2 linked regions of the Arabidopsis thaliana genome follow. The protein of the gene in region 1 binds, or shares a complex with, the protein of each later gene. Links are inferred from orthologs where the notes say so. Each region holds a gene or a part of one and is shown on either strand. Other genes may lie near its edges. The genes, in order: FLN2 and TRX z.

Region 1 (4,850 bases):
TTTATTGTACAAAAAAGATATGGATGTCCTACCATGGATGAGCTTGAGGAATTTAGTCGAGAATTTAAGAAAAGACTAGATGATGCTGGGGCTGAAAAAGTAATCCCAGAGGATCTAGCCCTTGAGGTCAAAAAGAGTCTTTCCCCAGTGAATCAACTCTCACTTGGTTCAGTTTTGTTACAAAATTTTGTTTCCGTTTTTTTTTTTTCTGTGTAGGTGTCATCTCCAGGAGCGGAGAGGCTACTGAGAGTCCCAGAGGACTTGCCCCGATTCAAGGATATGCCAATGACAGTAAGCTATGTAGAAGAAACAAACTCGAGGAAAGCAGTAAAGAGTGGAGTGTTCCTCTTGGAGTCTATAGATGCAGAATCAGATAACTGTGTCTGGAAATTAGCAGATGTAAGGGAGAACAGAGATCCCGAAAGCAAAGGCAGACCGTTAAGCCGGAAACAAAAGGACTTGAGAATCACACTGCCTTTCGCAGATCACAAGAAGATAAATCTCTACTTGGATTAGTTAAGTAGACGTAGAAGTAGAGTTGCTATTAAAGTAAGTTCATCGTCACTGCAGTTTCACATTGCTGTTTCCGGATAATTTCAAGTGATTTTGTATTAGTTGAGATGGTGAGTGAGATATCAAAACATATGACAAAAATTCACACTACTAAGATGTTGTAAGATGTGAACAGGAAAAAAAAGCTGACTAACAGAAACATTATCAAATCTTATGAAAATCATAAACTACCATCTTCAAACATTGAGCCAACAAGCTCTAACTTCTTGTACTCCCTTTCCTCTACTGGTTTCATAACGTATGGACCATCTGGTTCATCATAAGGCTTTGAGGTTCTGTATTCCTTCTCTGTTATCGATCTTATACCGTTTGGATCTGATTCCACTTCATCTTCTTCTTCATCATCTTCTTCTTCTTCCATGTCATCCTTTGGAGGATATCCTCGGGTTTGTGCCAGCAACCATTGATCAATAATACCACACTCAATTGCATATCTCGCTGTGCGTTCCAGGTACCCTTTATTGTTCATAAGATCTGGCTGAACCGTAAGCATTCTTATTAGACCTGAAATAGAGAGTAGTGTGGTTCAGTTAATCGCAAGCATAACTTCCAAATTGCTATGAAAAACAAATGACACAAGTGAAAATGTACCTGCAACGATGCCATCTCCAGATGCTGACATATCCCTTGTAAAAGGAGTAATGGGAACATCCTCCATTCCGGAAACAGCACCATTGTGCTCTTTGGTATAGTAATGGATCTTAGAAGTGCCATTGGTCACAAACAAGACCTTGAGATTTTCATGCCAAAGCTGTTCCACAGTTTCTGGCGGGTAATGGACAAACTTACTGATGTCATTGTTTTCTGTATCGAACTCTTCAGTAGGCTCGATTCCGCATAAGAATTCAAGTTCCTGTTTTGTGATTTCAATGACGTCTGCAAGATTCCACACTTCCTGTATGAAAGACTTGGTTTCTTCGCTGGAGTGCCATAGTGGTAAAGGGAGATTCAAGTCATAAAAAATGACATTGCCTAGTTGCTTTGATATCTTGATGGCTTGTATCGTAGTTGACATCATCTTCTTATCGAGTAGAGAATGCGTGCTGAAGTAGAACATTTTCGCCTGCACCAAAGTTAAGAGATTGGTGAACAAGAAAAAGAGCCAAAAACTCAATGTTCCAAATCTCCAGGACAATATATTACCTCTTTGAGCACATCAACGTTGATTTCAGATTTTGAAAGTGAATCCTCTGCACATGGCTTAATACAAGTCGATTTCAAGCGACCTCTCTTGCTGATCTTCATAGTAGAACACGCCGTAACCCTTTTACCATCAATCTTAACTGATCTAGTTTGGACTTTGCACACATTCAGATAATACAACATGGCTTGACCATAGTCATCAGCCCCAAGTTTGCCCATAAAAGCAACCTTACCACCCAAGCTTGCAAGAGCAATAGCAACACCTCCTGCACATCCTCCAGGAGCCCGGATATACTTCTCTGGAGCCCACTTTGCATCTCTCATCCGTTCGTGTAGTTCATAATCTAATAGCCTGTTTGCTGGCCTTCCCGAAGGCACAAAAGCATGTTGTGCAGATCCAAAGCAACACACGAGAGGAGGCCATCCATAAGTGTGACTAATATCTTCACCTTCATGTTTACTCAGATCAATCTCTTCTTCTTCACTCTCTGTATCAGTGCTTTCAACAGCCAATGCTTCCTCGACATCACTAACCTCAGCATCCATAATAGTAGCTAAATCATCCTCCACATCTTTATCTTTCTTAACAGTCCTCTTTCGTCTCACTTTCTTCTCGGTTTTTACTTCCTCCACATCAGAAGAAGCTGCTGCAGCTGTATATATGTCGAATTCAAATTAAGTACTCGTGAATCATCAAGTGAGAACCATCAGCTCAGAAATGGTAAAAGTCATTACCTTTCTTTCTAGTTCTTGTCTTTTTTGGTTTCAAAGCTGAGACAATGCTTTCCTTGTCTAAAACATCATCATTATCAACCAAAAATTCAGAAATTTCTTCTAATGGTTCATCCTTAACCACAACCTTCTTCTTCGTTGTTCTCTTAACACTTTTAGATGGTTTCTTTCCCACAACCGCACCGTTTCCATCATTACCTTCTTCTTCAAGAGGTGCTGACTCTGATAACTTTCTCCTACCAGCAGCCATAGAAAAGCTTTGTTTCCCATTCCATCTTTCACCTCTAAACTTCACAAAACCATGCGACTGGAGCAGACAAGGAACATCTGCATTGCATCTGCCAAAATCAAAGCACAGCTATGAGAAAACCATTACATCAAAATGTGAAATTTTCAAACAGAAAGACAAATATAGCCCTCAATTCAAATCATTGTTACTCCATTCTTCTGTAGAAAGATAAGATGAGCTAAACTTAAAGTTCGCACATTTTTGGGCAGTAAACTGGTTCTACGCCAAATCCATAGAAACCCATATACTAAAATTTCCTAAGGTTAGAAAACAAGAGAGAGAGAGAAGCAAAGGGACCTGGGGAATGATAAGAATTGGGTGAAGGAGAGAGACGCCATGAACATCAAATAAGAGCTCTTTTCCAAACGAAATTGTAGTAAAACTAAGCTCCGAAACCCATAAAGTCGAAAGAAGCGTAAACCCAGAAATGAACAAAGGAGAGCAATATGTTTATGAGTTTTGAGGGAGATTGGGGTTTAAGCTCTGAAACCGCAAGAGGAGCTAGCTGGGAGAGGATGAGGAGGAGGTTTAGCGCTTTAACGAAACGGCAAGCATTCTATGATCAAAATACTAAAACGTCAAGATGTCCCTATTCTGTCTACTATAATTTATTTACGGCTCATTTTTCTTCTTTAAAGCTAGTGAATTTAGTATTGTCTATATGACATTCTTTTAATGTAGGTAGAAATATTTGTTATGTAAAGTTTTTCGTGAAATCGTTTGCTATTAAAAAACTACTTCAAGGAAAATATTTTGTTGTGAAGTTAATTGGCTCATCATCACAAAGCTACAAAAAACTTACGATTAACTGAAATCATAATTACTATGATGATTTACGAGTAAATGATTTGATTGGCATAGAAATAATGCCTAAAGATGGTGTGATGAAAAACTTAATACAATTCTAACACGAGGATATATATATATATATATACTGTATATTTATTTATTTTTCGTCAAAAAATATAGACTGTATATATGTTATGGTAAAACGGCTATTTTTTGCTATATAGTGAAAATAATATCGTCTGGAGTTATAATAATTAGAATTTTGTATGGTTAATTAATTTCTATTGGTAATGTAACCATGAGTGCCTTGAGTGGAATGAAAGAAAATTGATGTAGTCAGAACAAATCTATGAAAATTTTGATATTTTTTAAAAATGGAATGAAATAGCTGGAGACTAACACACAATTTTCCATCATCTATCCAAATATATGTTTAAATGGTAAAAGATAGAATAGATAATGAAAAGAATTATGAGAGATTCACTACCAATTTCAAAATTATGAGAGATTCATTACCAATTTCAAAATCTCTCTAAAAACAAAGTTTTCTTCTCTTTTTTCTTTTCTTTTCTAGATCTTCATATCTAATTCAAAAGAGAAGCTGACTTTTGACGAGCGTGAAAGACAGAAGGTACTTGGATAACACAACAAGTTCAGAAAAAAAGTAGGTGAAAATTGGCTACCACCTTGCCTCTCTCATACATAAGTATTGTTTACTTCCTTGGTTCTTAAAATATTAGAACCCATTTTTTGTGTTTCTAATAATTGTTTCGTTGTTATCTAAGACTAAACTCATAGTTTTGTATACTTTAAGGTCAGATCGAAGCAGACAATACTGATATTTTGGAGGAACCTATTCTAAAATGGGTTCGTATCTTTTTCATCCGTTTCATTTTCGTTGAAAAAAACAGCGTTTACGTTTTGATACACTAATTTCTGTTAAGTATTGAATCATATTTCACCTTCGAAACATGTTTTGTATATGACTCAGATTTCACATCTTTGGAAACAACAACTTTCGAAGAAGTCGTGATAGCTTTGGGAAGCAATGTTGGAAACAGAATGAATAATTTCAAAGAAGCTTTACGATTGATGAAAGACTATGGGATCAGTGTAACCAGACACAGTTGTTTGTACGAAACAGAACCTGTTCATGTGACCGACCAACCAAGATTTCTCAACGCTGCAATAAGAGGTGTCACAAAGCTCAAACCTCATGAACTCTTGAACGTTCTCAAGAAAATTGAGAAAGAGATGGGTCGTGAAGAAAATGGTTTAAGGTATGGACCAAGACCACTTGACTTGGACATATTGTTCTATGGAA
Region 2 (4,491 bases), on another chromosome or scaffold:
ATATATTTTTCCTACTATGCCAAAGAATATCTTTGTGGTTATGCAATTCTTTGGCCTTTAGGAATAGGTCTGAAGATACCACTAGAACTTTTCATTAATTGAACCGATAGCAAAAACATGTCGAAGTTAGTGATATACCATGCATATCATCTAATCCAAGACTGGTAATTGCGATGAGGTGTTGTTCAAATGTATGGCACCCTGTTGCTATTATTCATATCCAACATTTTATGTGAAAAATGGGAGTATTGAATGCTTATCATGAGATTCTCCCTCTGTTGCCACTCTGTCCATATTAGCAGATAGGATGCAGTGCCTTTTTTGCTATATATTGCTTGTGTTTGAGTTTTGTTACAATTAATTCTTGTTTTAAAGTTTAAACCAACAACATGCACAAATTTTTTGCTTGGTGAAATTTGGTTTTTCATGAGTTTAGCAAAGGTGATTTTTCTATATCTGAAATAGTTTACATCGTTTTACTTGGAAATCTGATTTTACTTCTTCTCCAGTGCGTGATCAATAGTGGTGCTCTACCTTGTCTTGCCAACCTGCTCACTCAAAACCATAAGAAAAGCATAAAGAAGGAAGCTTGCTGGACGATTTCAAACATCACAGCAGGCAACAAAGATCAGATCCAGGTAGGCAATTAGTACTGTTTCATCATATGTTTTGTACCGTTTCCCATCCAGACTTCTATACCTATTCATTAATTGTGTTGTTTTTCCCCTGATGGTTGCAGACGGTAGTTGAGGCTAATTTGATTTCCCCGTTGGTGAGTCTGCTTCAAAATGCTGAATTTGACATTAAGAAGGAAGCTGCATGGGCAATTTCAAATGCAACTTCAGGTGGTTCTCATGATCAAATAAAGTATGTCACTGTCTTTTTTGCGTTCCTCTAACTTCCAGTTTCTTCTCTCATATATATACTTTGTGTATATATATATTGATGTTCTGTTCCCGTTGGTTATACAGATACCTGGTGGAGCAAGGGTGCATAAAACCATTATGCGATCTCCTGGTTTGCCCAGATCCAAGAATCATAACTGTCTGCCTTGAAGGATTGGAAAACATTTTGAAGGTGGGAGAGGCAGAGAAGAACTTGGGTCACACAGGAGACATGAACTATTACGCTCAGCTGATTGATGATGCAGAAGGGCTAGAAAAGATCGAGAACCTTCAGAGCCATGACAACAATGAGATCTATGAGAAGGCTGTTAAAATTCTGGAGACATACTGGCTTGAAGAGGAAGATGATGAGACACAGCAACCTCCAGGTGTTGATGGTTCTCAGGCTGGGTTCCAGTTTGGAGGGAATCAAGCTCCAGTACCATCCGGAGGATTCAACTTCAGCTGAAGGTAAATAAAAGTAAAAATTCTTAAATTTCTAACAACGTCTCTTGATGAAAACATGCAAAATCTGATATTTAGATCAATATAAACCCACAGGAATGGAATTGGAAGCTTGCAACTTGAGAATGGTGAAAGGTCAGAGTCAGTCAGAGTCTAGTTTCACTGCCATGGTTATACTCCAGGTCTGGTCTGGTCTGGTCTCAGAGGTTTGTACCGGGTGGTCGGTTTAAAAGTACAGCGTCTGAGAAAGTGTTTGGTTCATTGTCCAGGGCTATTTTTTTGAAATGACTGGTACACCGGTCGTGAGTCGACCTTTGTGTTGTTTTTAAATTTTGGAGGGTTATAAAAACTTACAGTGGAGTCTTTTGTTTTTGTGTTGACAACAGTTTGTATGTCGGTTAAAAAATTGAAACCATAAACCCTTTATTGGTCTTAATATGTTTGGTGTCTGATTTCCTAAGGAAAGGTTTTTTTTTTTTTGGTCAAACCTAAGGAAGGGTTTATCTTCGAGTTATAAAGACTCGAATCTTTATTTGAATTATGAAGTAAAGTATACATAAAACAGCAATAAATTATTATGAATTTGACTTTACCTGAGCAAGTAAATTGTAAAAAGACAAGAACTAATGAACTATTAGTATATGTCCAGTTCAATTGCCTTATCGTCTAAAACCCCTCAAAAGCTAAAACTGAAATCATTTTGAAGCAGAAATCGATTTCCAAAATGGCTCTTGTTCAATCCAGAACTTTTCCACACCTCAACACTCCGTTATCGCCGATTCTATCCTCCCTCCATGCTCCGTCTTCTCTCTTTATCCGGAGGGAAATCCGACCGGTAGCCGCGCCGTTCTCCTCCTCCACCGCCGGAAACTTGCCCTTCTCGCCGTTGACGCGTCCGCGAAAGCTTCTCTGTCCTCCGCCTCGCGGCAAGTTTGTCAGAGAAGATTATCTTGTGGTACGGACAATTTCTCGCTTTCTCTCACGCTCCAAACAACATATTTTGTCGATTTCAAAAAATTTCATGTTTGTTTTCGTTTTACGACTTCCTTTTTCGCCTTTCTGGGAAATTAAGTTGGCTGGGCATAGATGTAGTTATTATATAAGAACGATATATGGTAGTTCTATCAAAGATTCGACCAGTACACTGTTAAATACTTCAGAATAGAGATTTGCTTAATTTGAATCTTATGAATGACTCTTGTTGATACCATCATGTGGAAGCCTCACTGATTTCTGGATGTTTTTTGTTCCTTTTCTTATGGTTTGACAGAAGAAATTGTCAGCTCAAGAACTTCAGGAACTGGTGAAAGGAGATAGGAAGGTGCCGTTGATTGTTGATTTTTATGCGACATGGTGTGGACCTTGTATCTTGATGGCCCAGGAACTAGAAATGGTACCATGGATTCTCATAACTCAACTTTCTTACACATTCTCCATTTCACTTGCTTCATGTGTAGACTCTAGAATGCTTATATATTTCCAAACGTTGGCTCTTGGAACCCGGTTGTTCGTTATAATATACTTGAATCTTGAAATGTGATGGTATATTACTGTTAAGTCTAGTGCAGTACTATTGTAACTTGCATAGGAGTTGGGCAGTGCATTATAGCTTTGGTAGCTCATCAACAAATCTTTACAGTTTACTGAGATCTTAATGTTTAAAGAGGGGCTATGAAAATGTATTGGGGGCACTCTGGATTTGTCTTGGGTCTTGGTTTGGCAATTGACTAGAGTTGAAAGACCGCTCTCATTAATCAAGTCTCTTCTATGGTTTAGTTCTTTTGGTGAATTAGATAAAGGAGTTAAACAGTTCCAATCTTACGACTGTTTCTCCCATACTTTATGACAAAGATACCTTGTCGCGTAGTTGGCATGTCTACAAATTCAAAAGAAATGTGTGAGATAGGAGAATCTAAGCATCTTCTTATTGATTGGCTTTATCTACTTGCTTTTTCACTCATGACACTCGTGTTAAATAGTTTTTGCTCATTGTGAAACAGCTTGCAGTAGAGTATGAGAGCAATGCAATAATCGTGAAAGTTGATACAGATGATGAGTACGAGTTTGCACGCGACATGCAGGTATACTGTAACTTGCAGCTTATGTTTTTAAATTTCATGAATCTCCTCTCAGCATATCAATGTAAATTCTTACATTAACCAACTCTTGTGATACAGGTTCGAGGGTTACCTACATTATTCTTCATCAGTCCTGACCCAAGCAAAGATGCAATCAGGACAGAAGGGCTAATTCCGTTACAGATGATGCACGATATCATTGACAACGAGATGTGAAGTTTTTACTGAGAAAACACTTTTGTACTCTTTATGATTTGATTAGAATCGCCGTAATTTAGGATTGGTACCGTGTTGTTTGCATTTGAGATGTGGTAAGAATGTCTTCTAGTTTCATAGATGAAGAATGTAGTCTTAAGACATTTGTTTGTATGCAGTGTTCGTTTCAATACCTAAGTGAAAAGGTTAGAGCTGTTGATCTGGTCGGATCCAAGTTATGTGGCACATCAAATTCACGATCCGGTCCATGTAATAACACTGTAGCTTAAACTTGGAAGAGAGAGATATGACGTCATTAAAGACTTTTTCCCCATTTCTTGGTTGACATTAAACCGGGACGAAAGTATTATTAAACACCATTATTAGGAAAAACACGACGCCATTCGAAATGGCGCCCAAATTATGCGAAAATTTTCCTACAGGGTTATGTGCGATATTTGGCGGGTGGCTCTAGCCTGATATTAGAGGACGTAAACAGGGGTAATTTCGTCTTTTAAAGCAATAAATTAAAGCTAGGGTTTAGCCGAACCAATTTCATTTATAATTGGCCATTTGGTTTAGTTTTTGTGAGGTATCTGTTGGGTCGTTTCTTTGAAATCAAAAAAAAAAAATCTCTGTTTCTCTGACACTCTCTCTCTCTGTTTCTACTTTCAAGATTCAAATTTTTGTTCCCCTGATCCACTCGTCTTTGAATTCTCATCAAGTCTTATATGTTTCTTGCCTACTCTGATCTCTATCGGAAACCCTAGATCCATATCTTCTTGACTTGACACTAGTTCACGAATCACGATCTGCGGTTCCTGAAGCTGGTAATGCTAGATCCCACCGAGAAAGTGAGTGATCTGATT

Evidence for each region.
Region 2: the proteins of FLN2 (region 1) and TRX z are in contact, whole or in part, in a cryo-EM structure (PDB 8XZV), measured with the Spinacia oleracea proteins. The link is inferred for Arabidopsis thaliana from one-to-one orthologs. Residues at the interface, in XP_021858068.1 of Spinacia oleracea: Gln218, His219, Ala220, Phe221, Val222, Pro223, Ser224, Gly225, Arg226, Pro227, Ala228, Arg230, Leu231, Ile232, His234, Gln235, Ile236, His237, Leu240, Lys241, Ala243, Phe250, Ile251, Asp282, Tyr283, Thr286, Trp308, Ala310, Met311, Ser312; in XP_021862427.2 of Spinacia oleracea: Tyr73, Lys77, Ile83, Thr84, Val87, Arg88, Phe99, Tyr100, Thr102, Trp103, Gly105, Pro106, Ile108, Leu109, Gln112, Asp131, Asp133, Tyr136, Phe138, Ala139, Arg140, Asp141, Met142, Gln143, Val144, Arg145, Gly146, Leu147, Pro148, Tyr151.

What each region holds. Positions count from the first base shown.
Region 1 is NC_003070.9:26,014,249-26,019,098, reverse strand, and holds FLN2 (fructokinase-like protein), read right to left. Parts: upstream 3,076-4,850; coding exon 3,035-3,075; intron 2,787-3,034; coding exon 2,452-2,786; intron 2,370-2,451; coding exon 1,717-2,369; intron 1,637-1,716; coding exon 1,165-1,636; intron 1,078-1,164; coding exon 734-1,077; downstream 1-733. Other genes in the region: AT1G69210 (Uncharacterized protein family UPF0090), read left to right, coding at 18-126, 217-516; AT1G69190 (Dihydropterin pyrophosphokinase / Dihydropteroate synthase), read left to right, coding at 4,390-4,393, 4,518-4,850. UniProt on the Arabidopsis thaliana protein: Required for proper chloroplast development, most likely through regulating plastid-encoded polymerase (PEP) dependent chloroplast transcription.
Region 2 is NC_003074.8:2,122,203-2,126,693, forward strand, and holds TRX z (Thioredoxin z), read left to right. Parts: upstream 1-1,952; 5' UTR 1,953-2,073; coding exon 2,074-2,304; intron 2,305-2,619; coding exon 2,620-2,742; intron 2,743-3,349; coding exon 3,350-3,430; intron 3,431-3,526; coding exon 3,527-3,643; 3' UTR 3,644-3,954; downstream 3,955-4,491. Other genes in the region: IMPA-1 (importin alpha), read left to right, coding at 510-638, 740-867, 972-1,353; GATA15 (GATA transcription factor 15), read left to right, coding at 4,456-4,476. UniProt on the Arabidopsis thaliana protein: Thiol-disulfide oxidoreductase that plays a role in proper chloroplast development, most likely through regulating plastid-encoded polymerase (PEP) dependent chloroplast transcription.